2 linked regions of the Oreochromis niloticus genome follow. The protein of the gene in region 1 binds, or shares a complex with, the protein of each later gene. Links are inferred from orthologs where the notes say so. Each region holds a gene or a part of one and is shown on either strand. Other genes may lie near its edges.

Region 1 (10,664 bases):
TGAAACAGTTTGGAGAAGTGGCTGACATCAGGTGCAGGTCATTTAATATTTTACTGTGAGGAAACAGTACAGGACTACAAATACATGCCTCAAATATTCAATTTATTCTTAAGTACTTACTTGTCTTTGAGTAGATTAGATAAATCTCCACCAAGACAAGCTTCTGTCAAAACGTACAGATGCTCTGCATCTTTAAAGGTTTTGTGCAGCCTGTGATCAATGAAAATAATAATTACTTTAAATCTTTTTCCTCAGCATCAACAATATTTTACCAGACAGATCTAAGTATGGGACACACCTGACTATAAACGAACAGTGGGTCTCCATTAGGATGTGGCTTTCTCTCCGGATGTGCTCTTGTTGGCCACTGCTGACAATCAGCTTCTTCTTGAGGACCCTCATGGCAAAAGGACACTTTGTCTTGCTCTTCAGTTGCACCTTACAGAGAACAGAAGTAAATGCATTACATTATAGACACATCGCCGAGGGCGAGCTGCTTGCAGATTGACCCTCACCAGGTCTACGTGACCAAACTCCCCGACCCCCAAAGAGCAGATAATCTGGAAATCACTTAAGGTGGAAGTAGACAGGAGGACAGGATCCACATCTGAGCTGCTTACAAGGAAAACAGGGGTGAGCTTTTATTCTGTGTCTTCTGTATATAGAAATGAAACAGTGTTTTAACGCTTCTCACTCGACTTCAGGTTCATCGTTTTGTTGCTCCTCTTGACTGCAATCAGGTGCCAACCCATCAATGATGCTCTTAAAGGTGCTGTAATACAGAGAATTACGAATATTCAGGTTAGATTAAGCACATTTTCAAATCAGAGAGCAGTGTGACAGCTGAATCACTTACTCTCTGTCTATTACCAGGCACGTAACTTCTCCAGCAGCTATCACACTCACAGTCCGAATGTCCTCTCTGAAGACAAGCAAGTATTACAAAATAAAACTATCAATAAGACTATCAATATACATATATATATATATATATGAATGTGCTTTTTCATTATATGTGCAGAAATTTCTTTACAGCATCATCTGAAGGAGCTTTTTTTCCTTCTTACCCCCACAGAGCCTTTTCTCCAAACCACTGTCTCTCAGAGAGCTTAGAAAGAACTACCTGTTCTTCCTGCTCTTGCCCCTTTTCAGTCACTTTCACCTGTCAAATGTAATGAAAAAAGAGGTAATGGTGATGAGCGCAACGCACCAAAGTAAATTATCACCATCATAAAGTCATTTCCGCCACTGCTTTGACATTTCTGTCATCCAGGCTGTAAATCTTTTCCTCAGAAAGCCCCCCTTGATCTGCGCAGCAGGATGAGAGCAGAAAACTTTACCTGGCCTTTGCTGATGATATAAAAAGTGTCTCCTGTGGCCCCTTGTCGAATGATGTAGTCGCCGTCGGCGTAATGTGTCTGTGGAAGACAAATGAAAACCGACAGCGGTGTGACCAGTGGAAAAACATCAATAAAACAAAGAAGGGTTCATCCAGAGAGCTTTCCTTGCACTTATACAGGCACTGCATGTAAACATTCACCTCATCCATTAGCTGGATACACCAGTGTGCTTCACAGTTAAATAACTTCAAGTGTACCTCTTCCATGAGATCCGACATTTTCATGAGGACATCTGCTGGGAGCGACTGGAGGAAGGGAATGCTGCACACAGATACAAACAAAAAGCACTGGATATCATCCGCAATAGCTCATGTAGGTGCATGAGGACAATGAGCAGATACCGTGCTCAGAGGTAAAAGCCTACATGGCCCATCAAAGCAGCTTTTTGGAGCTGCTTCATGTGCATCAGTCTGATTTTCACCTGCTAAGAAGCTCCACTGAATGGGAAAGGTGCTTGAGACCACTCTGCATGAGTATGGTCTGGTAGCTGTTGCGATCCACAACCCACAGCCTGCTGTCCGTTCGTGCTGCAGATCAAAAGACAGAGACAGAGGAAGACGCTGTGTCAGTGACAGACGAGTGAAAGCACTATCGAGACTCACGCTGCCTGTGATGGATGTGGACGTGCAGCCAGTAAGTAGGCCAGGATTTCATTAGAAATGCTTACCGTGTATCGTAAAAACTAAAAATACTTGTTTTCCTCACAGAGGTCAGTAGATATCAATCAAATCTAATTTCCTTCAGCCATCATCACCATCTTTCTTTGTAATAGAGCTTGAAAGAGAGTGTCGTTAATTAATAATGACCAGTATTGATTGATTCACTGAACCTTCCTGCAAACGGAAGACGACGTCCCCTCCAGACAGTCTAATAAGATCGAGCATCTGATTATTGCGGTGCAGTCCTTATCTCAGTTCCCCGTTTTTGGATACAAACCAAACTTTGTCGCTTTACCATCGTATGACACACGGCGTACAGCCATTGGTCCTTAATTCAATCTCCTACGCCAGGTATGATGGGAAGAAAAGTAATTTCAGGTCAGGAAGGAGATAAATGCAACAGGCCTTAAATGGATTGAAAAAAAGAGGGTACATGGAACAAGGGGGAGCAGCGAGTTTTGTTACCAGAGAGCAGACAAATGTAGAACAGTGAATTGGAAAGGCTGCCTGGTTACAGGATAACGAAAGGAGTTTTTAAAAAAAGGGGAGGAATGGGATGCTTTTGGGACCAAACAAGACAAAACAGACAGATTTTTCAATTTAAACTGATCCGGCCATTTTCACAGCCTATTTATTTGTGAAACCAGGTCAGACACACGCAGCCACGACTGAAAAGGTTTTCCCACAGGACTCTGTGATCGGATCCTCAAAGGAAATGATAGCACAGTTTCTGCTTTTAAGAGGGAAAAAAAATCATGTTTTTACACCAGAAAAGCACAGATGAGAGGTTGTAACGCAGCGGTCATTGAATCGAGATCGTTTACAAGAAGATTATTTTTAAATGTTTGCAAGATGCTGAGATGCTGGATTGTAGGGAGGAGATGTGGCGCTTCAGGCAGCCGTGTTAAGCGGAAAAAGCCGAGGATGCTTTAAATTCCTCACATCCGTTAGAAAGCCATGCGAAGCTGTTGTAAGATCTCAGAGGGTCTTTTGATTTTGAATTCAACAGGCATCTTTTGTCCGAGGCCACAGCCAGAAATCTTACCGCTTGCGAAATTCGCTTAAACTAGAATTATTTATATCCTCGCCGAATCAAAGTTAATCACAGAGAAATTCTTCAGGTTGACAGCTCTCCTGTGACATCTGAGCGCAATTATAAAATAAGGAAGCCGATGCAAAGCTTTGATTTACCTGACACAGAGTAGGTGTGGGTGCAGTTGTAAAGGAGCGCTAGCTCTCCAAACAAGTCTTCTGGTTCAACTGTGAGCAGCTTCAGTCCATCTTTCATCATTTCCAGCCTCCCTTCTGCGAATAAACAAACACTGGGTGAAGGACGACGCAGAGAAATGCGTTTTATGTCAGATAATGTACAGACTGAGAGAGATGTACAGCACAAACAACAGAAAGGCAAGGAGACCGGAGATAAACAGCCGCTCCGTCTCCTCGGGCTCAAGCTGACATTTCAACCCAAACTAGAAATGTGTTGCTCCACATGCTGTCACTTTATTGCACTTCTATTTGCTTCTATTTATCAGTACAAAAATTTTAATATAAAGATATGATCAAGCTCATCATTTAATCAGTCTGTCCTTAAGCATCTGACATCTCAAGGAAGCCTTAATAAATATCCTCGTGTGTGATTAATAGCGGCCATTGCAAGAGGAAAAAAGGATTTACCTTCCAAAACGTAAGCCTGAGCCCCAGCGGTCCCCTCCTGAATAACATAGCAGCCTTGATTGATGGTGGTGGAATGCATGCAGGCGATGATGGCTCTGATTTCTCCTTCATCAAGGTGCTTCAGCAAGTCGTTTCTCAGAAATGATGCCCGAATCAGCCTCTGGGACCTGAGGACATGAGGAAACGATATGAAATTTGCACGTGAGGATGAGTTATTAAACAGTGTCAAATACTTGAGCGTCTGACAATGAATAAAAAAAAAGCATTGGTTCATCATGAGTCATGCAGTCAGCAGTCAGTGAGCCTTGAACATGCATGAGTGTGATTTTTCAATCTGAGCAGGTGTAGCTCTGAAGGGAACACTGTGTGCTCTTACTCGTGGCTTTTGTCACAGCTTCTCTGTGAAACCAAGGCGAGAGTCACTGGGTCCAGAGTGAGGGGCTCACAAATCACCGTCTGCCTTCTGGGTCTCTTGTTGTCATCAGTTTGACCTGAGGTAGAAGCAAAAAAATAAAGAATAAAAAAGTCAAGGAAATCAAATAGAACTCTATATCAGTCCTAATAAGCTCTGCAATTATTAAAACAGCACAAAACTGCCTACATGCACTGACTGCAGAGGCTCCTGGGAGGGAGACAGTGGTTCTGTAGCGGTCTAGTTCTTCCTGCAGCCTCCGGATGAGTTCATCCTTCGTGTCCAGCTCAAGCTCCAGCTCATCTATCAGCGTGTCCCTCTGGCGAAGCTCCTCAATCTTTAGTTGCAAGGCAAACTGGAGGTCCCGAAGTGTACCCATCACCTGCAAACACTAGCAGACTTCATCTATGCTTTTGACAAAGAGCCATCCATAGAGTATATACATTCCTACAGCTGCTATGCAGCGTGGATCTATCTACAACAAACTTGACCTCTGTATGATTTTGATCTACACCTCTCTTTATTATTTAGCTAATCTGTCCAGGTGTAATGGCTTCTACCTGGATAAGAGCATAGATCCACCTGTTTTGGGCTTCTTGTACATTTTCACACCTATACGAGTGTTCATATGTTTACGAGCACATTAATGTTCACTGCAAATGAGTCACAGGTAAGGTATAGCCCCACATTGCAAGCATTAGCTCTAGTCTGTTGTTCTGCATCTCTATACATAATTCAAGCCACATTAAGAGAAAATACAAAGAAAGTAGAAATGAAATGCTTACACAGTAAATGTTAGTACAAACTTCCTACTGAGTCCCACACAAAAGTCCTAACAGGAATAAAAACATGAAAATAACATTGGATTTTCCATGTGACTGTTAGGCGTGGCTGATGCTTTCACGATGATTTTTTCTGTTTTTTTAATCTTTGCTGATTTTAGCTGTCATGTTTCTAATTGACTGTCTGTTAGCACAGATGAGGCTGTATCCGCAAACTGTATTAATGCTGTGCGATATTTCACACCATAAACAAACAAACAAACAAATGAACACAAACATCACTTACCACACGCAGCCTGTATGGCGTTATGGGGTCTATTTCACCGGCGTGTTTTGGCCTGGTTTGGCTGCAGACTGTTCACTCGACAGGTGCACATCCCGTCTGTAAGTGCCCAGCTGAAGGATGCTCTTCTTTCTTGCTCGCGGCTGGCCGGGGCTGGGCACAGACAGCAGGCAATCACATGACCCACACGGTGGAAACCATGCGGGGAGGGTGAGATGAGAAACGTGTGGATCGGATCCCATCTGGGTCACGGGGTCCTCAGGGTGTTCCGGAGCCTTGGGAGTAGGTGGGGATCCGGCAAACTGTGCAATGCATGTTAATGATTGTATGCCCAACCGATCATGAAGCAGGTTAAAGGCTGGCCGTGTGCACCGATCAAAGATTTATTCGTTTTCTCTCCATAGCAGCTGTGCAGCCATCCAAATATAATTTTACCTTATATCATGTTTTTTTTTCTCTCAGTAAAAGGCTTGATATGTATTTGATGTAGGTGCGTAAAGTAACAAAATAAATGTTCCTCTGCAATTGGACGGCAAGTGGTTTTCCGATAACAACAGTTTCAAACTACATGTGATGATAAGTTATGGTAACAGCTCTATAATGTTGCAATAATGTTAGCCATTAATAGGAAAATCAGTAATAAGTTACTGCGTTCATCACGACACTAGTAAAAACACGCTAGAGCCATGCAGCGTTAGTCCACTTTATTTAAACACAATTTCCGTGCGTGTTATTTAAACACACACAAAAATGAAAAAATGAAGAAAAAAAACTAGCCCTAGTGTACCATTGTTGATAATATTACTAATAGCCGCGTTATAAGTCAAATCTGTAAGCCTTTTTTTGAGTTTTCCCATCCTTTTTTTTCCTTTTAATATTCAACTGCGGCATAATTAGGAGAAAATAAATGGATTATTCTTTGTTTTTGTTGTTATGACACTTTCCTCTGAGGGCTGGCGTAGCTGCCATGCCACACTCCGGCCAGCGCGCGGCGGTAGTGGGATGCGGGAGAAGAAAATGGGCCGTTGGCAAGCAAAGAATCGCGAGCTGATAAAGTAGCTGTACTGTGAAGCAGCACACTCCGAGACGTTTTGTTACTTCATCTTTATTGTTGTGTAATTTTTTTGTTTTTTTAAAGCATATTCAAAAATGATCCTCACGGTGAAACCGCTTCAAGGAAAAGAGTGCAGCGTACAGGTGAGTGAAGTACCGCTGCGCTAGCTCACCGCCTCATGCTAACTGCGATAGCAGCTAGTAGTTTAGTCGGGCCAGCATTGGCATGTCACATGCCGAGCTACCTTCAGAAAAACGGCCACACATATGTTTCTTTTAAAATAATAAAATAGCCTGTCAAAAATACTGGGATTCAGTGCTACACACTGTAGCCTAAACTAGTCGGTTGTATGGGCATGTCTCCGCAGAGTCATTAATTTGGCTGGCGTGCTAGCTAAATCCTGGATAAGATGTTGCATACAATCTTCCCTGACAACAGCTGACTAGTAGCATTTGAAGTCGGTCTTTGTGGTTTCGGGGAAAGAAAAAAAAGGGAAGTCCTATCTGAGGGAAACAGCTTTTGGTGCAGTAAGACCAATATAGCTGTCAGTTAGCCTTAGCCACAGTCTGTCTCTCACAAAGCTAATTTTTTTTTAAATATTATAAAGCACAAACTGGACCTTTACTTGGAGACATAAGCAAAGGCCCCTGAATTAAAGAGAATATTAGCGTGTGGCAGCCACTATTTTAACATGACCAGGTTTTAAGGAAATATGCAGGCAGTCAAAAGCATTTTATTACGTGGGGAAGTATTTCCCCAAGTGGGGAAGTATTTCTAAAATCGTTTAAAAATTCTGTGTTCAGCAGAGAAGTGGTTCCATGCACAACATCTGTGCCATAACAGTGATTACAGCCATTTCGTTTAAAATGTTAGCAAGAGTACACTTTTTTTTTTTTTTTTTGAGAAATGGGGCTCTACAAATGCCAGTACAAACCGGGAATGTCACTTGTACATATATTTAACATTAATATCTGGATAATGTAAAGGTAGGAGTTATTTGAGAAAGATTTTTAAATGATAACTTAATTTATCAAGGAACAAACTTTCCAAAGCTCACCCAGTGTGAAAAAGGAATTGCCCCCTAAACCGAATAATTGGTTGTGCCACACCTGGCAGCAAGAACTGCAATCAAACTGGCAATGTGACTTTCATGTTGCTGTGGAGGGAATCTTGGTCCACTGTCCTTTACAATATTGTCCTAACTCAGCCTCATTGCAGGGTTTTCCAGTTTCAGTGTACTGTTAAAAGTCATCCCGAAATATTTTAATTGAATTTAAGTCTGGACTTTGACAAGGGAACTCTAAAACTTTTATGTTAGTTATTGAGCCATTCAAGGGCAGATTGCTGCTGTGTTTTTGGTCACTATCCTGTTGCATAACCCAAGGGCATTTGAGTGTTAGAGGACAAACTAGTGGCTCCTGAAGGATGGAGCAGAATTCATGGTTCCATGAATTACAGGAAGTCTTCCAGGTCCCGAAACAGCAAAGCAGCCCTACACCATCACACTACCTCCACTGTGTTTGACTGCTGGTGTGATGTTCTTTTTATGAAATGCTGTTAGTTTTACACCAGATGTAACACAGAACTCAAACTCTTCAAAAAGTCCAGATTTTTCTTGTCAGTCTAAAAAATATTTCCAAAAGGTTCTGGGGATCATCAAGATGCTTTTTGGCAAATGTGAGACAGGCCTTTGTGTGTGTGCGTGTGTGTGTTGTTTTGTTCCAAATATGCCAAAAAACAAGAAATCAAGAATAGGGCAATTACTCTTTTACAGCACTGTGTGCTGTGTAATTTAAACACTGTTCAGCTGCACAGACAGAAAACAGTGTCATGCTCTTAAATTACACATGTACTACATGATTGGGTTGTTTTTCTTCCAGGTGACTGAAGACGAAAAGGTCTCCACAGTGAAGGAGCTTGTGTCTGAACGTCTCAACATACCAGCAAACCAGCAACGGTTACTCTACAAAGGGAAAGCTCTCGCAGGTAGATGTGCCAACAGCGACATGTTTGATGGCAGCATTTGTTAATACTTTTATGCATGCGTCATATGTAAATTTTTAATGCAACACATTGTAACACTCTCCCTCAGATGAACACAGACTGAGTGATTACTCTATTGGTCCTGAGGCTAAATTGAATCTGGTAATCCGTCCCATGGGAGAGAGGACTGCAGCTTCAGGAACAGCAGCACCAGGCGGTGGTGGTAGCTGTAGCAGCACCAGCAGCGGAAGCAGCACACATGGAGGAGTGTGGCAGACCGTCTCCACTATACTTGCTAGACACTTTAGTCCGGCAGATGCAGCAAAAGTTCATGAACAGCTTATTAAGGTATTTAAATGCAGCGTCATTTTTTTTTTTTTTTCTTCAGACAAGTTGACAGGTGCGGATATTTAATAAATCTAAAATATTAAAGTTGAAAGGGCCAGTTATTGATGATTTATGAACATGTAGTGCTAATGGTGAGATACTGATTTAATTTCTGGAAATCTATTATTAATAATTACTACAATATTTGTATAATGCTTTTATCTTTTAATGAGAACTGTTTTTACTGTAGAAAGTGGGTGTACTGACAGCTCTTGAGTTTGTTAGTTGTTCAGCTCCTATCCATCCAACTGTGCTCACTAATTAGAAGCTACATTCAGCTGCTCCCTCATTCACGAGGCGTTGCCACAGCAGGTAGCTCTGCATGCCTTCCCAACGCAACCCCAAAGGGATTCATGTCTCCTCCTTTCGCTTGTTAGGCAAATATGTAAACCACTAAACTATGGAGCCACTAATTATGCTGGGCTAAATAATTAATTGAACAACCCAGACCAGTAGTAGCCAGACGTGTGTGTGTGTGTATTTGAAGGGTTGGGGGGGGGATGAAGCAAAATCTGGTTTGGCCTTTTGCTGCCAAATTCTGTTGTTATCCTGAAATTGTTGAATTATTTGCGTGCAAACAGCATTACAAAACAAACTGCCAAAAGTGCAAATTAGCTTACCTCCACTTACGTCCACACTTTTTGGACTTAACAAACTCCTTTTAAAAGCAACAAAAATGTTTCTGAAGGTCATGCCTCCAGTCCTCCATGCATTATTTCTCAGCCAGAACGTGTTGTAAATAAATGAACTGAAATGTTTTTAACCTGCTGTTTTTCAATATGTTTTTTTTTTGCTTTCTTTCTTTTCTCAAGGACTATGAACGTTCCCTTCGACAGCTTAGCCTCGATGACATTGAGCGCTTAGCGGGGAGGTTGCTTCATCCGGAGGGCGAGGGCATGGACACCTCATACATGGACTAAGAATGCATAGCTTGAAGCTGATTTTTTCCGATTGTTGTTTGAGAGACGCTCAGTGCTTTGAGATGCATACGGTGTTTAGAGTGTTAGGCTGTGGAAAATACAATGCCATTTTTCTTACAGAGAGCCCCAGGGTGAGCATGGATAACACTGACTGTTTGTCTCAGCAATAGGGCTTTCTTATCTTGGATGAGAAAACTTGGCATCTTGGAATTGGCCCTTGTCATTGGTGGCACAGTAACCTCGACCTGATCACATAATGTCTGAATACAAAGGAGTCCATTTATGAAGCTATCTTCACATGATCTCTGGCTGCTACCATTTCCAGGGGACACTAACTTCTAATGGAGGGTATTTATTAGTAATATTTGGGTTGCGTGATGACCGGGTGTTTCCTGTTATAACCATCTGTGCAGTTCATACATGTTTTATTCTGTAACTTACTGATGACCATTGTATGATTTGTAAATATCATGTTTATATATACAGATATTAAAACACAGGTAGAAAAAAAAAAAACTATCTTTCCGCTTTTGTTGTGTGCTTTTTAAGTGTCAGAATATACAAATGTATAAGCGGTGTGGTTTGATTTGAGGTTTCACAAGGCGGGACTTTACATATCAACCAATCAGATGTTAGGAAACCTCGTGACTCAAATTTCTGACCAATTGGATTGACTGAGTAATACGGTTCCGCCTTTGTGATCAACTGACGGTCTGTATCTTTATACTGCTAATTTTGGATGCCATTTCGGGTGGAATGAAGGGTTAATGCGTTATTTTAATACAAACTATGAAGAACAGGAAACTTGGATAGGAAGGAATATATCTTGAACATTGGTGAGGTCAGCATCGGGTATCGTTTCTTTAGCAGCTAAGCGAGTGTAAGCAGTTAGCTAGCTTATCCCTTTCACTTCCTCCCTTTACCGAATAGATTTAGCAAGCTATGGTTAGCACATAACATCGAGTGTCTCGGCTTGTGCTGTCACCATTTGTTGCACTGTTAGTCAGACCTGGTTTCATCCCAGTAGTTGACAACTCGTAACCAGTGTTCATCTTAAAATGCCACTTCAAACTGGTGTTTAACCTGGGAGGATTGAACGTGGTGTTA
Region 2 (11,442 bases), on another chromosome or scaffold:
TCAGGGGATTTCATTTCTATTTTTTTTTCTCTAAATGTGGGTGAAAGGCTAAACTGATGCTAAGTTGTGAACAGCTCTGCACCGCTAATGTCATGTTTGCCTCCCTGCCTTCTCCTTGATAGGCTGGTGGATGAACACCAACAGTGTCCAGATGGGACTTTTTACCGTGGTGGGGTATCTTCTCTACAGGTTCTCACAGAGTCAGTCACACAGCAACACCCACACTTCTACTGTTTAATGACTTTTACTGCGTCTAGAAAATAAATAATGAATCTGTAATAGTGAACTATTTTCAGGTAGTAAACAGATGTTTATAAATCTTACTAGTCTTTTTTTCCATTTCTTTTTCTTTTAAACTTCTCCTGTCCAGCACTTTTAGCAAACAGAATCATGGTCTGCTTTGTTGTGCCAAACACATTTGCATTGCCAAGAGGAGTGCTGTAGACAGTCTATAGGCTCCTTTTGTTAGTTGTTTTCTTTTATTTATTTATTTTTTAGATCTTTTATTTTAGATCTCACATTATTATCTGACTGGTTATCATGCCAGACCTGACAGGGTGTGAGGGCCAAGTTATCGAAAGACAGGAGATAAGGGGGGTGGAGGGGGTAATTTCGAGTAACATACCGCAAACATATGACACACTAGTCTAAATCTTCAAACCGAATCAATAACCTGTCATCTGAACACTTAAATGATCCAAAATGGGACAGAGACTAGAAAGAGAGAGCATATTTCTCCTATATTGGCTTCTCTTTACTGGCTGCCAGTTAAATGCATAATCAAATTTAAAATCCTTCTCTTCGCATGAAGATCATGAATAATCAGGCCCCGTTCAATTTAATTCAATTCAGTTAAATTCAACTCAACTAAGTTTTATTTATATAGCACCAAATCACAACAGTAATCTCAAGGCATTTTCTGACAATAATAGAGAAAACCTCAACAATCGGACAACCCCTTATGAGCAAGCATTTGGCAACATCGGGGAGGAAAAACTCCCTTTTAACAGGAAGCAACCTCCATCAGAACCAGGCTCAGAGAGGGAGACAGGACAAAAGATACACCGAATCATCTTAGTTATGCAGCAATATGCTTAGGATGCTGCAGACTTCCTATGATTCAATGAGTGTTTTGTCTTTAATCAGCTGTTTTCTCTCTGTGTGTTCATACACCACTCAACATTTTATTATTAGTTACTATTCATCTCTTGCTCATGTTTACAGTTTGTCTCTTGTCCTGTATCAGCTGATTGAATGTAGAGTTTGACTATAGTAAATCCAAAAGAAACAAATAAAAGGGGGCAGTATGGATCCTACAGTTATGGCATATGAATAAATACATGTTCATTATAGAAAATGAATCAGCAAGTCTCCCTATTATTATGACACTCTGTGATACTCATTCTAGCCTCACTTCCCTGCAGCTCTCCCAGCTCTGATTCGATGGCCGATTCGTCTCTTTTGTTCTTTAACTGGTGAGTTTATCTAAGCTAATACATCACTTTGACTTCCAAGTTTCAGGACAAAACCAGCAAAATGAAACTTAATTGAAACAAAATGAAAGTTAATTCATGCACACTGATTATTTCTTTTCCCTTCAGGTCTGTCAGCTCTTTGGGGGTGGATAAGCCGGCTTGTGGGAACCCTCCGAGGTATAAAGCACATCCCCCATTTTACCATTTAAAACAAAATCTGTTAAACTGGAGCTGACTTTTCCACTCCATGTCTCGTGTCTCAGTACTCCAGACCTTGTTTAAGTGGCTGTCTCGGATTTGGCGCTTTTTAGCCAGTAAGTATTTCTTGTATCTTTGTTGGATTTCGTTTTCTCTTCACTGCGTGTTGCAAATAGAGAGTGAAAAAGAAAACGTTTAGAATCTGAGTGGCTATCAGAGGACATGACCCAGCAGTGCAAGCAGACATGGGACAGCAGTTTAAAATGTGAAGGCATCACACCTGTTTCTGTGATACATGTGAGTTATTACAACCCTAATGTAAATTTCTATCTGCTTGCTTCCTCAGCATTTTCCTCAAGATTCAAGTGGATCGCTGCTGTCATCAAAGCCATCAACAGTCAGTTTGTTGTCATTTTTATTAGCTATATTTAGCTACATACTCTATATATCAATATGTATTTGTTCATTTTTTGTAGTTTGTTTTTGTGCTTTTATGGGATTTGTCTCACAAAACGATCAATGGTCTCAGAAACAACCTCATGAGAGGGTTTTCCATAATTATTGGCTTTCTGGTATGTTTAAGAACTCTCATTCAAAACTCCTTCAGTTTCAGGATATTTCAGGTTCTTGCATCCTTATAATGCCTGTTTTGCATTATAAGGATTATGGAGTGATTCATCTTTCTGAGATATATTTCTTGTTGTACTTGCAAATCTGTTCAGGATCATTATCCTAAGCACAAGGTCCACTTTCAGCTCAGTCTCAGCTTTCAGACAAATGGTCTTACACTATCTCTCAAACTGGCCTAAAGCGATCACTGATGTGACACAAATTCATTCTTATGTCACTGACTGTATGTAAGTGAGGCAGCGATGTGCCCTCTAACCACGGCATTTTTGCAGTTGGTATGAGGTTCTTTTCCTGAATCACCATCTTTGGCATGTATTGTATTGTTTTCAGCAGCAAATATTGTTATTCCACACAAGTTCCTAAGACTCTTCTTATAAATTTCCCAACTGAGAAAATGAAAAAAATGAAATTTTAGATCATCAGATTGAGCTCATTTTGATTTAGAATCACAGCTTTACCCCATAAGGCTTTTTAAAATTCTAAAATAATATTGTATTATCTCTGTAGATTCATCCAGAGACGGCTCTTTGGACTCACAGAGTGATCCAGTCATTAGCAGCTTACTGAACCAAATGCTTGATCCCTCTGGCGGCAGCATTCCCAAGAAACCAGGTCTCAGGCTGGTCCTCCTGGGGCTTCCTGGTGGAGGACGGACTTCCCTAGCAGATACTTTAATGAACAACAATGAGAGAAGCACCAAAAGGGTTCCTCTAAAGGAGAGTACCGTGCAAAGGGCTTTTATAGATGGTAGAGAACTTATAGTAATTCAGACCCCAGATCTTTTGGGGACGTCACTAGGGAACAGAGAGAGAGCACTGGAAGTTCTGAGGAGTGTCCAGCTCGCCAGTCCCGGACCACATGCCTTTTTAATGGTGATGCGTACTCCAGGCTTCACCAAGGGGGCTGAGCAGGATGCTGCCCAAGCAGTCCAAGCCACAATGGAACTGTTCGGTGTGGAAGTCAAGAGGTACATTATCCCAGTGCTCACTCATGCAGACCGTCTGGGTCGAAGGAACACTTTAGATCAGCTGCTTGATGCAGATGCTGGAAATCTGAAAAGCGCTGTGGCACTGTGTGGCCAGAGGCCTGAGCTGGTGGATAACAGGCCCGACCGCCCCGCAGAGGAAAGAAGTGTTACACGCAGGCAGCTGGTGGAGCGTGTGATGGAGGTAATGGAGCTGAAGGGGCATTTTGTCCACGAGCTACAGAGAAGAGAAGACCACATGAGGGAGGTGCTGCTGGCTGATATGACCTCTGCACTGGCTAAAAGACTGGGATATATGTAGAGAGAGAAGAAGAGAAGAAGAAAGGGCAGTATGTGCAACAAGTTGGAAAGATGGTGGAGGTGGAAGTGTTTGCCACTGTTCAGTAGTGGACAGTGGTATGTATTATAGTTTCCAACATACCCTAGATTGTTTAAAAATATATTTTTTGTGTTCTCCAGATGGCTGTTTACAGCTACTAAATGCTTAAATGTTTACTGTTTACTTTTCTCAGCAAAGAACGCATTGTTGATTATATGGCCCAAATATTTAGCTGTAGCTGTAGATGATGAATTTGTCTACCTGTGATGCATAAAAGTCACTGTTTACAGAATCAGCATTTTATAAATGAATATTTTTATTAAATTTACTTCTGCTTTTCATTCTTCTTCCAATAATTTAAGTGGGGAAAAAAACTACAAAACCTACAAAAAATATATAATAATTTAAAAGAACTAACTTGTCTGTCACTTATAGATAACAAATAAATGTGCTCTTAAATATACTCATCTGAAACAACAATCACTTAAATTTTTCAAATGTATGGCTGTCAGTCAACTGTGGTTACCTAGCTTTGATAAGTAAATTTTTCCACAAACTTCTCTTGATAATGTAGCCAAAATGATGATAATGAATATAAGAATAGTGAAGCAGAGTTAGTTACATCAAGTATTCAATACACTATGTGCTGTTATACTTTTACTCCCAAAAACTACAGTCAGAGTCACCAAGTATGCCAAATGTCATCTGGCTAAATAAATTCCATTAGTACTAATATTGCTATAGGCTCAAAACCACAACAAGAAAAAGTTGTTACAGGATATAAGGACATAGGATTAAAGCCCATAATAATGTTTAGGTATTTTGTAGTTTACAAGGTCTGAGAGGCACCTGGACATCTGCACCTCGTCTATTTTCAGGTTCCAGATTTATTCCAGATTCAAGTCTATTAAGACGCGTTTTTGACTGTTAAAAAAAAAAAAAGTTGAGTAACAGATACAAGTAACTTCAGCTGTTCGGAAATATGAAATGATCCTCTTGTTGTTGTAATTACAGCAAATATCTATAGAAATGTTCTGTCTATCTGTTAAGTCTTTCTCTCTGATCTTTCCTGATTAGTAATGTTTCTCATATAGCTTTCTACAGACACTAGAAGAACAGTAACATTACAGTCTGTAAGCATAACACATATCAGAAAGCTGGCTTTACAGCTAGCTAATGAATGACAATAAGTTCACCAGATGGGATGGGACACATATTTAGCATCTGTGCCACACTACAAAACTATGATTTATTTATTCTTCACTATAAATCCCGTTTTTAAGTTTTTCTCCAAATCTAGATAACTCAATCTGTTATAGTAATTAACAGTAATTAATTAATTAAAGTCAGGATGCAAATATGTTACTTACTATCCAGTCATTTAATAATATATGCCAAAAAACGGTGAATCTCTTTTTTTTTTAACCATGTTTTTATTTTTTTGTTTTATTTTCCTTACAATTAACCTCGTCATCGTGTTGCCTCAAGCATCATCTGCTGGTTAAAAAAAGGTTTCAAAAGTTTTCATGCTTCCATGATTATTACACCTACTGCGATACACCGGCTACGGCAAGCGACGAGGGTCCATTAAGTTTAAAGCTTTCCGGGTTCACCCTGTCAACAGTCGCTGGGTGTGCTGCTGCTGCTACGGAGCAACGATGTCGGAGCAGGAGTCTCTGAGGTGCTCCAGTGCCAGAAACCGTGGAGGCGTACAGAGGGTGGAAGGAAAACTGCGAGCCAGCGTAGAAAAGGGGGATTATTATGAAGCACATCAGATGTACAGGACTTTATTTTTTAGGTGAGACTTCGTTTTTACGTTTGTTCATTCGGTTATAATTGCCATTTGGCTTCGAGGCCTGCCTGTTCCAGATCATTCTGCTGTCAACCATGCTTTTACACCTGACTGTCTGTGATTGGTCTGCTTTCACGGCGGGCCTGCCCACTCTTCGTGATTCTTGTGTTTGTTTGGACGGTCGCGTTTTCCATCTAGTCTGAAAACGGGACTGCTAACTAATGCTAGTTAGCCAGCTATGTGTTTGCTTTTGATGGCTGAAGTGTAGTTAGCTACCCGGACAATGCCTACCACAGATATTCTGCTTTTGTGTGTTACTTGAAAGTCTATTTATTCGTACATAACCGAATCTAGCGGCTGACTATTTTAGTAACTGACGACGTTGCGAAAACTTGTTAGTTGAAGATGTCCGGCTGAGTTAGCCAGTTAGCAACATTCTGCACCGTCGCGGTCTGGACCGTGATGGCTGGACGTGCTATCGCTTAGCAAAAGTGTCTTCATTCACAGCCAATCCATTTAGAAACCTGAATAAGCCTAAGCGTTTGTTGGGTGTTCCAGTCTTTGTCATAAAAGATCAGTCTCAACTCCCTGCTCCAACACTAAGACATCTGAGCTCTGTTTAGTGCAATAAAATTATTAGTCAAGGTGCAATACTGGTTAGCTGCGTACCACCAGCTTTTAATTAAAAAAAAAGAAAAAAGGTGATATAAACCTATTTGAATGCAGTTTGAAAACGTTCTTTCTCTCACAGTTGTGTGTGTTGGCCTGCTCATTCATTGGTTTTCATCATTGAAGTGTTAACACCTGGAAATAAAGGGAGTCTAAAACATTGTCTTCCTTCATTGATACCTGCTGTGAAAAAGAAGGGAAGCAGGACTGAGCTCGTGTCCCTTGGAAACAGATAATGTCATCTCTTGTGTAATACTGATACTCTGTCTTGCATCAGGTACATGTCACAGGGGAAGCATGCGGAGGCCAGGGAGCTGATGTATAACGGAGCTCTGCTCTTCTTCAGCTACAACCAGGTACATGCAGCACTGAGTTTGTTAGAAAGCAAATTATTTTGGCTGTAATAATTGACTTGTTTTGTGTAATTATAATATTTTAACGTAGATCATTAACCCAAGTTCCAGACAGTTCCTGACGGTGTAGATTAAAAAAAAAAAAAATACACTTGCTGTGTTTATAGTAACCAATGTCCGTAATGTAAATATGTAAGAAAAATTGTATGTTTCTGTTCTGTGTCCTGTGTACTGTTTGTTTGTATACGTGTCTTTCTGGCTGCTGTTACAACCAAATTTCCCCTTGTGGGACAATTAAAGGATTATTCTATTCTATTCTTTTGGTTTGCAGCAAAACAGCGCAGCAGATCTGTCCATGCTGGTGCTGGAGGTTTTGGAAAAATCTGAGACAAAAGTTGAAGATGAAATATTAGGTGGGTGCAAGACTTTGTCTTTTAAAGTTCATCTACAAGACTTGTAAATAGTGGTAAATACATTTTTTTTTTTTTCTATTGAAATAAATATTACCAAACAAAAATCAGATATAGAATATGTGCAGTTTATCAAACATATCCTGAACATTAACTGCTGCAGTAGCTGAACTGTGGATTTGTACGTCATATAATAAATAATTGATTGGCCTTGACTACTGTACTCATCAGCTTCATCTCACTTCTCTATCTGTGTGTATAATTGCTCGTAAATGATGTAGTAATAAATCCTCATGATAGTCAAAGAAGTCTGCACAACAGGGCATTTCATTTATACTTCTCTGACTTTTTTTTTTTTTTTTTTTTAAGAATGTCTGGCTAAACTCTTCAGCCAGATGGACCAGAACTCTCCAGAGAGAGTAGCATTTGTTTCCAGAGCCTTGAAATGGTCCACAGGAGGGTCTGGCAAGTTGGGTCATCCAAAACTACACCAGCTGCTTGCTGTCACTTTGTGGAAAGGTAAAAGTTGATCATGTTGATTATGTAGCGCAGAGTAGAACGTTTTTGAATGTACGTATTAAGATATCAGTAGACGCCATCGGTTTTACTGATAGTTTGTTAGATATATTGATTATTAACAGTGAACCCATGACTGCAAAGTACAAAATGTTTCGATGCACATACACACTAGATTTAATTGTGGGTGTGTATGATGTCTAGAATACTCAGAGAATACACACAACACCCTATTCCAAAAATGTTGGGGCTCTGTGTGAAATGTAAATAAAATCAGAATGCAATGATTCACAAATCACACAAGTACATATGTTATTTACAATAGAACATAGAAAATGTATCAACTGTTTAAACTGAGAGGAACCATTTTAAGAAAAATATTAGCTCATTTTGAATTTGATGGCAGCAACACATCTCCAACAGGCCTCCTCGAGCTGAGGAGAGCAGTTCTTTGACTCTTGGGAGAAGAATGTTAGCAAAAGGGTCCCATTCTTGTCTTATAGAGGATTCCAGCTGCTTAATAGTCCTGACTGTTGCTAAATTTTTGCTTCATGAAGCACTAAATGTTTTCAGTTGGTGAGAGTGTAGTGTACTGCAGGCAGGACAGTTCACCACCTACATCTTCTTCTACTAAGAAGCCATGTAGTAGTAGTAGCTGCAGTTTGGCGTTGTCTCACTGAGATATGCAAGGCCTTCGATGTAAAAGACATCCAGATGGGAGCATATGTTGCTCTAAAATCTGTACAGCTAGATGAGATATTCAAGGTGTTCACAGCTTTACACTGAAGAAATTGTTACGAAAGTTGTAGACTGTTTTTGCAGATTGGTAAAACTCTGCCCATCTTTACATACTTTACTCTGCTTCTCTAAGATGCCCTTTTTTAAACCCAATCATGTTACTGACCGCTTGCCAGTTAGTTTAGAAAATATTCCTCTCACCGTTTCTTTTTGTGCCACTTGCATTTCCAGCCTTTTGTTGCCCCCGTTCCAACATTTTTGTTGAAAAGGGGGCAACAAATGTACTGATCAGCAGTTTAAATGTTTTAAAGACATCCAATGTCTTTAAAACACTTTTGAGACATTTTAGCTGCCATCAAATTCAAAATGAACTAATCTTTTAAAATAATGGTGCATTTTTTTTTCATTTCAAACAATGGATATTCTATTTTAAATAAAAGTTTGTGGGTTTATGAACATCCCTGCATTTTCTTTTTATTTATATTATACACAGTGTTTCGACTTTTTGAAACTGGGTTTAAAATTCAGTAGCTTTGTATGTGTTAAAACATAGTGTCATGTCACAAGGTCATAGTGTGTCCTTATTCTAGAAACACAGGGCATTTGCTCCTTGTATCAGTCCGTCTTGACTAATTATGCTTGCATGACATCTTCTTTGTAAAATGACATCCTGTTTGGTGTCTTTCCTGGTAACGTTGTTTTGTTGTGCTTGCTATGTCATTACTGTCCTGATGTTGCCGTCTTGGAAATTAAGGTGTTGTTGTATTTTTTTCTTTTAAATCGTCAGAGCAAAACTACAGTGAGTCTCGTTATCACTTCCTGCATTCCTCTGACGGGGAGGGCTGTGCACACATGTTGGTGGAGTATTCAGCATCACGAGGCTTCCGCAGTGAGGTTGACATGTTTGTGGCGCAGGCCGTCCTACAGTAAGTGAACTGTCACCTTGTCACATTCTTGGATGCAAAATTTAGAAAGGGGGAGGGAGCCAAATTTAGCTGTGTGGGGTTTTTTTTTTTTTCTTCTTGTATTCTTCTTTGTATCAGACTTACATGTTTGAGACCAGCAAACAAAGATAACCAGAGTTAATAAAACATGATGATTTCATTTATTATGGGGGAAAGAACAGCCATCCAAACCTAGCTGACCATATGTTAAAAACTTATTGCCCCCCATTTCTTAAATCATTAACTGTCATTAGCTACTTTTTTGGAAAGCTGAGTTTGACTTCATTAGCTAAATCCCGGCCTGATCTCTTCGATCAAGACATCACTTAAATAGAAACTGTTTGACAAAGTGAAGCAGGCTAAAAGATGTCAACATGCAGTGATCTACAGAAACTCAAGAACAGCTGAGAAACAAAGTCATTGACAGTTATCAGCGTGGAAAGGCTTGGATAGTCATTTCTAAGGCTTTGGGACTCCAGTGAGCCAGTCAGAGCCATTATCCATAAATGGAGAAAACTTGCAACAGTAGTGAACCTTCCTAGGAGTGGCTGGCCTACCCAAATCAGTCCAAGAGCGCATTGAAGATCAGGTCAAAAAGGAACCCGGAACTGCAGGCCTCACTTAGCTCAGTTATTGTCATGATTCAACAATAAGACAGAGACTGGGCAAAGAGGGCCTCCATGGGAGAGCTCCAAGGAGGCCAAATAGAACACAAAGTCTCACATTTTCCAAGAGAAAAAAAAAAAAAACATCTTTTAGGAAATATTCTGTGGTAAAACTAAGACAGCATTTCATAAAAAGTTCATACCAACAGTCAGACATGGTGGTGGTAGTGTGATGGTCTGGAGCTGCTTTGGCACCTGCATGACTTGCTGTAACTGATGGCACCATGAATTCTGCTTTCTCCTGAAGGAGAATGTCCGAACATCAGTTCATGACTTGAAGCTCAAGTACACTTATGCATCCCATCTCTGAATGGTTAAACATAAATGAATAAATAACTCAATGAAATCACGGTTTTGGAGTGGCCTAGTCAAAGTTCAGACTTAAATCTGATTGAGATGTTTGGCATGACACTAAACAGGCGGTTATGACAAATGCGTGATTGCAGGTCTTGCTGCCAAAGGTAACACAACCAGTTATTAGGTTAGAGGGCAATTAATCTGTGGTTTTCTAATGTTTCTGATTGGAGTAGGTGGCGCTCATAGGAATCTTTTTGTGCAGAAGAGTCACATGACATGCATTTTTATGTGAGTGACCAAGCACAGAGTCTGAAACAGAAATCCCACCTTAACAGAGAAATTTGATGACAGTGCTAGTGATCCCTGTTATAAACTGGGGATTTAGGTTTTGTTGAACCAGCTAAATGCCAGAAAGCCTAGCTGTGTGGAACTTGGTTTGCAGTTTACCCCTCAGGAGTATTGAGTATAGTGTCGGTGTTCAGAAGCGGTAGAAATGGAGAAAATGGTACTGACGCATCAATCTCCAACATGTCGACCAGCTGCATTTATTTTCAGTCTGTCAGCCATTTCTTCAAAGAGGCTTTGAGCATCATTTACCTTTTTTATCATGCCATCTCCATAACTCTCCCTTTCTTCTCTCAAATCTCAAACCCTCCAGGTTCCTCTGCTTAAAGAACAAAAACAGCGCTTCCGTGGTGTTTAGCACGTACACAGAGAAACACCCGTCCATAGAGAGGGGCCCTCCTTTCGTGCAGCCTCTACTAAACTTTATCTGGTTTCTGCTGCTGGCAGTGGACGGGTGAGGACAGATGTTGGGATTGTTGAGTTTGCTTATCATGCCTGACAGATGTAAGCTTAAAAATATCAGTGAATTGTTTTGATTGTTTTTATCATTTAGATGCTTTTTGCTTGTTTTCTTTAGGGGTAAATTAACAGTTTTCACAGTGTTATGTGAGCAATATCAGCCTTCCCTGAAGAGGGATCCCATGTATAATGAGGTGAGTGTTGAGCTGCAGCTTCATACTGTTTGTCTTTGCCCAGAATTTATGTAATAAATGACTACACCATGTGCACTAGGCTAACTTAACCTTGGAATTCATTTGGTTAAAGATGTTGGAGAAAGTCTGTCATTGAAGTTGCATTATGGGGTTAAACTGCCTGTAAACACAGACTCTACTCAGGTGTAATCCTCTCTTCCTCTCTCTCTCGACTCAGTATCTCGACAGAATAGGACAGCTTTTCTTTGGCGTTCCACCCAAACAGTCCCCATCGTATGGCGGACTACTAGGTGAGTTGGGAAACACAACTGATGTGTATACACACACGTTAATAGACTTAGCAGCAAGATGAAGAGAGACTGATAGCGATGTTTTTCATCACCAGCTACTTTTGAATGTGATGCTACCAAGAAATTCCCTGAAGCCTCTGCATCATTTATGAAAGCGCTTGCA

Evidence for each region.
Region 2: ubl4a (region 1) and get4 share a complex: the UniProt entries of both Homo sapiens proteins name them as parts of the BAG6/BAT3 complex. The link is inferred for Oreochromis niloticus from reciprocal best matches to the Homo sapiens genes UBL4A and GET4.

What each region holds. Positions count from the first base shown.
Region 1 is NC_031977.2:13,690,021-13,700,684, reverse strand, and holds ubl4a (ubiquitin-like protein 4A), read left to right. Parts: upstream 1-6,199; 5' UTR 6,200-6,362; coding exon 6,363-6,410; intron 6,411-8,147; coding exon 8,148-8,253; intron 8,254-8,359; coding exon 8,360-8,598; intron 8,599-9,449; coding exon 9,450-9,557; 3' UTR 9,558-10,073; downstream 10,074-10,664. Other genes in the region: prkg1l (cGMP-dependent protein kinase 1), read right to left, coding at 121-210, 299-438, 516-612, 695-772, 857-922, 1,068-1,162, 1,341-1,418, 1,541-1,661 and 5 more. UniProt on the Homo sapiens protein: As part of a cytosolic protein quality control complex, the BAG6/BAT3 complex, maintains misfolded and hydrophobic patches-containing proteins in a soluble state and participates in their proper delivery to the endoplasmic reticulum or alternatively can promote their sorting to the proteasome where they undergo degradation.
Region 2 is NC_031973.2:22,244,188-22,255,629, reverse strand, and holds the start of get4 (Golgi to ER traffic protein 4 homolog), read left to right. Parts: upstream 1-5,168; 5' UTR 5,169-5,265; coding exon 5,266-5,405; intron 5,406-6,345; coding exon 6,346-6,424; intron 6,425-6,752; coding exon 6,753-6,834; intron 6,835-7,200; coding exon 7,201-7,350; intron 7,351-8,872; coding exon 8,873-9,011; intron 9,012-10,649; coding exon 10,650-10,790; intron 10,791-10,913; coding exon 10,914-10,989; intron 10,990-11,206; coding exon 11,207-11,279; intron 11,280-11,442. Other genes in the region: GTPase IMAP family member 7-like, read left to right, coding at 123-200, 1,425-1,475, 1,602-1,652, 1,739-1,789, 2,020-2,070, 2,811-3,589. UniProt on the Homo sapiens protein: As part of a cytosolic protein quality control complex, the BAG6/BAT3 complex, maintains misfolded and hydrophobic patches-containing proteins in a soluble state and participates in their proper delivery to the endoplasmic reticulum or alternatively can promote their sorting to the proteasome where they undergo degradation.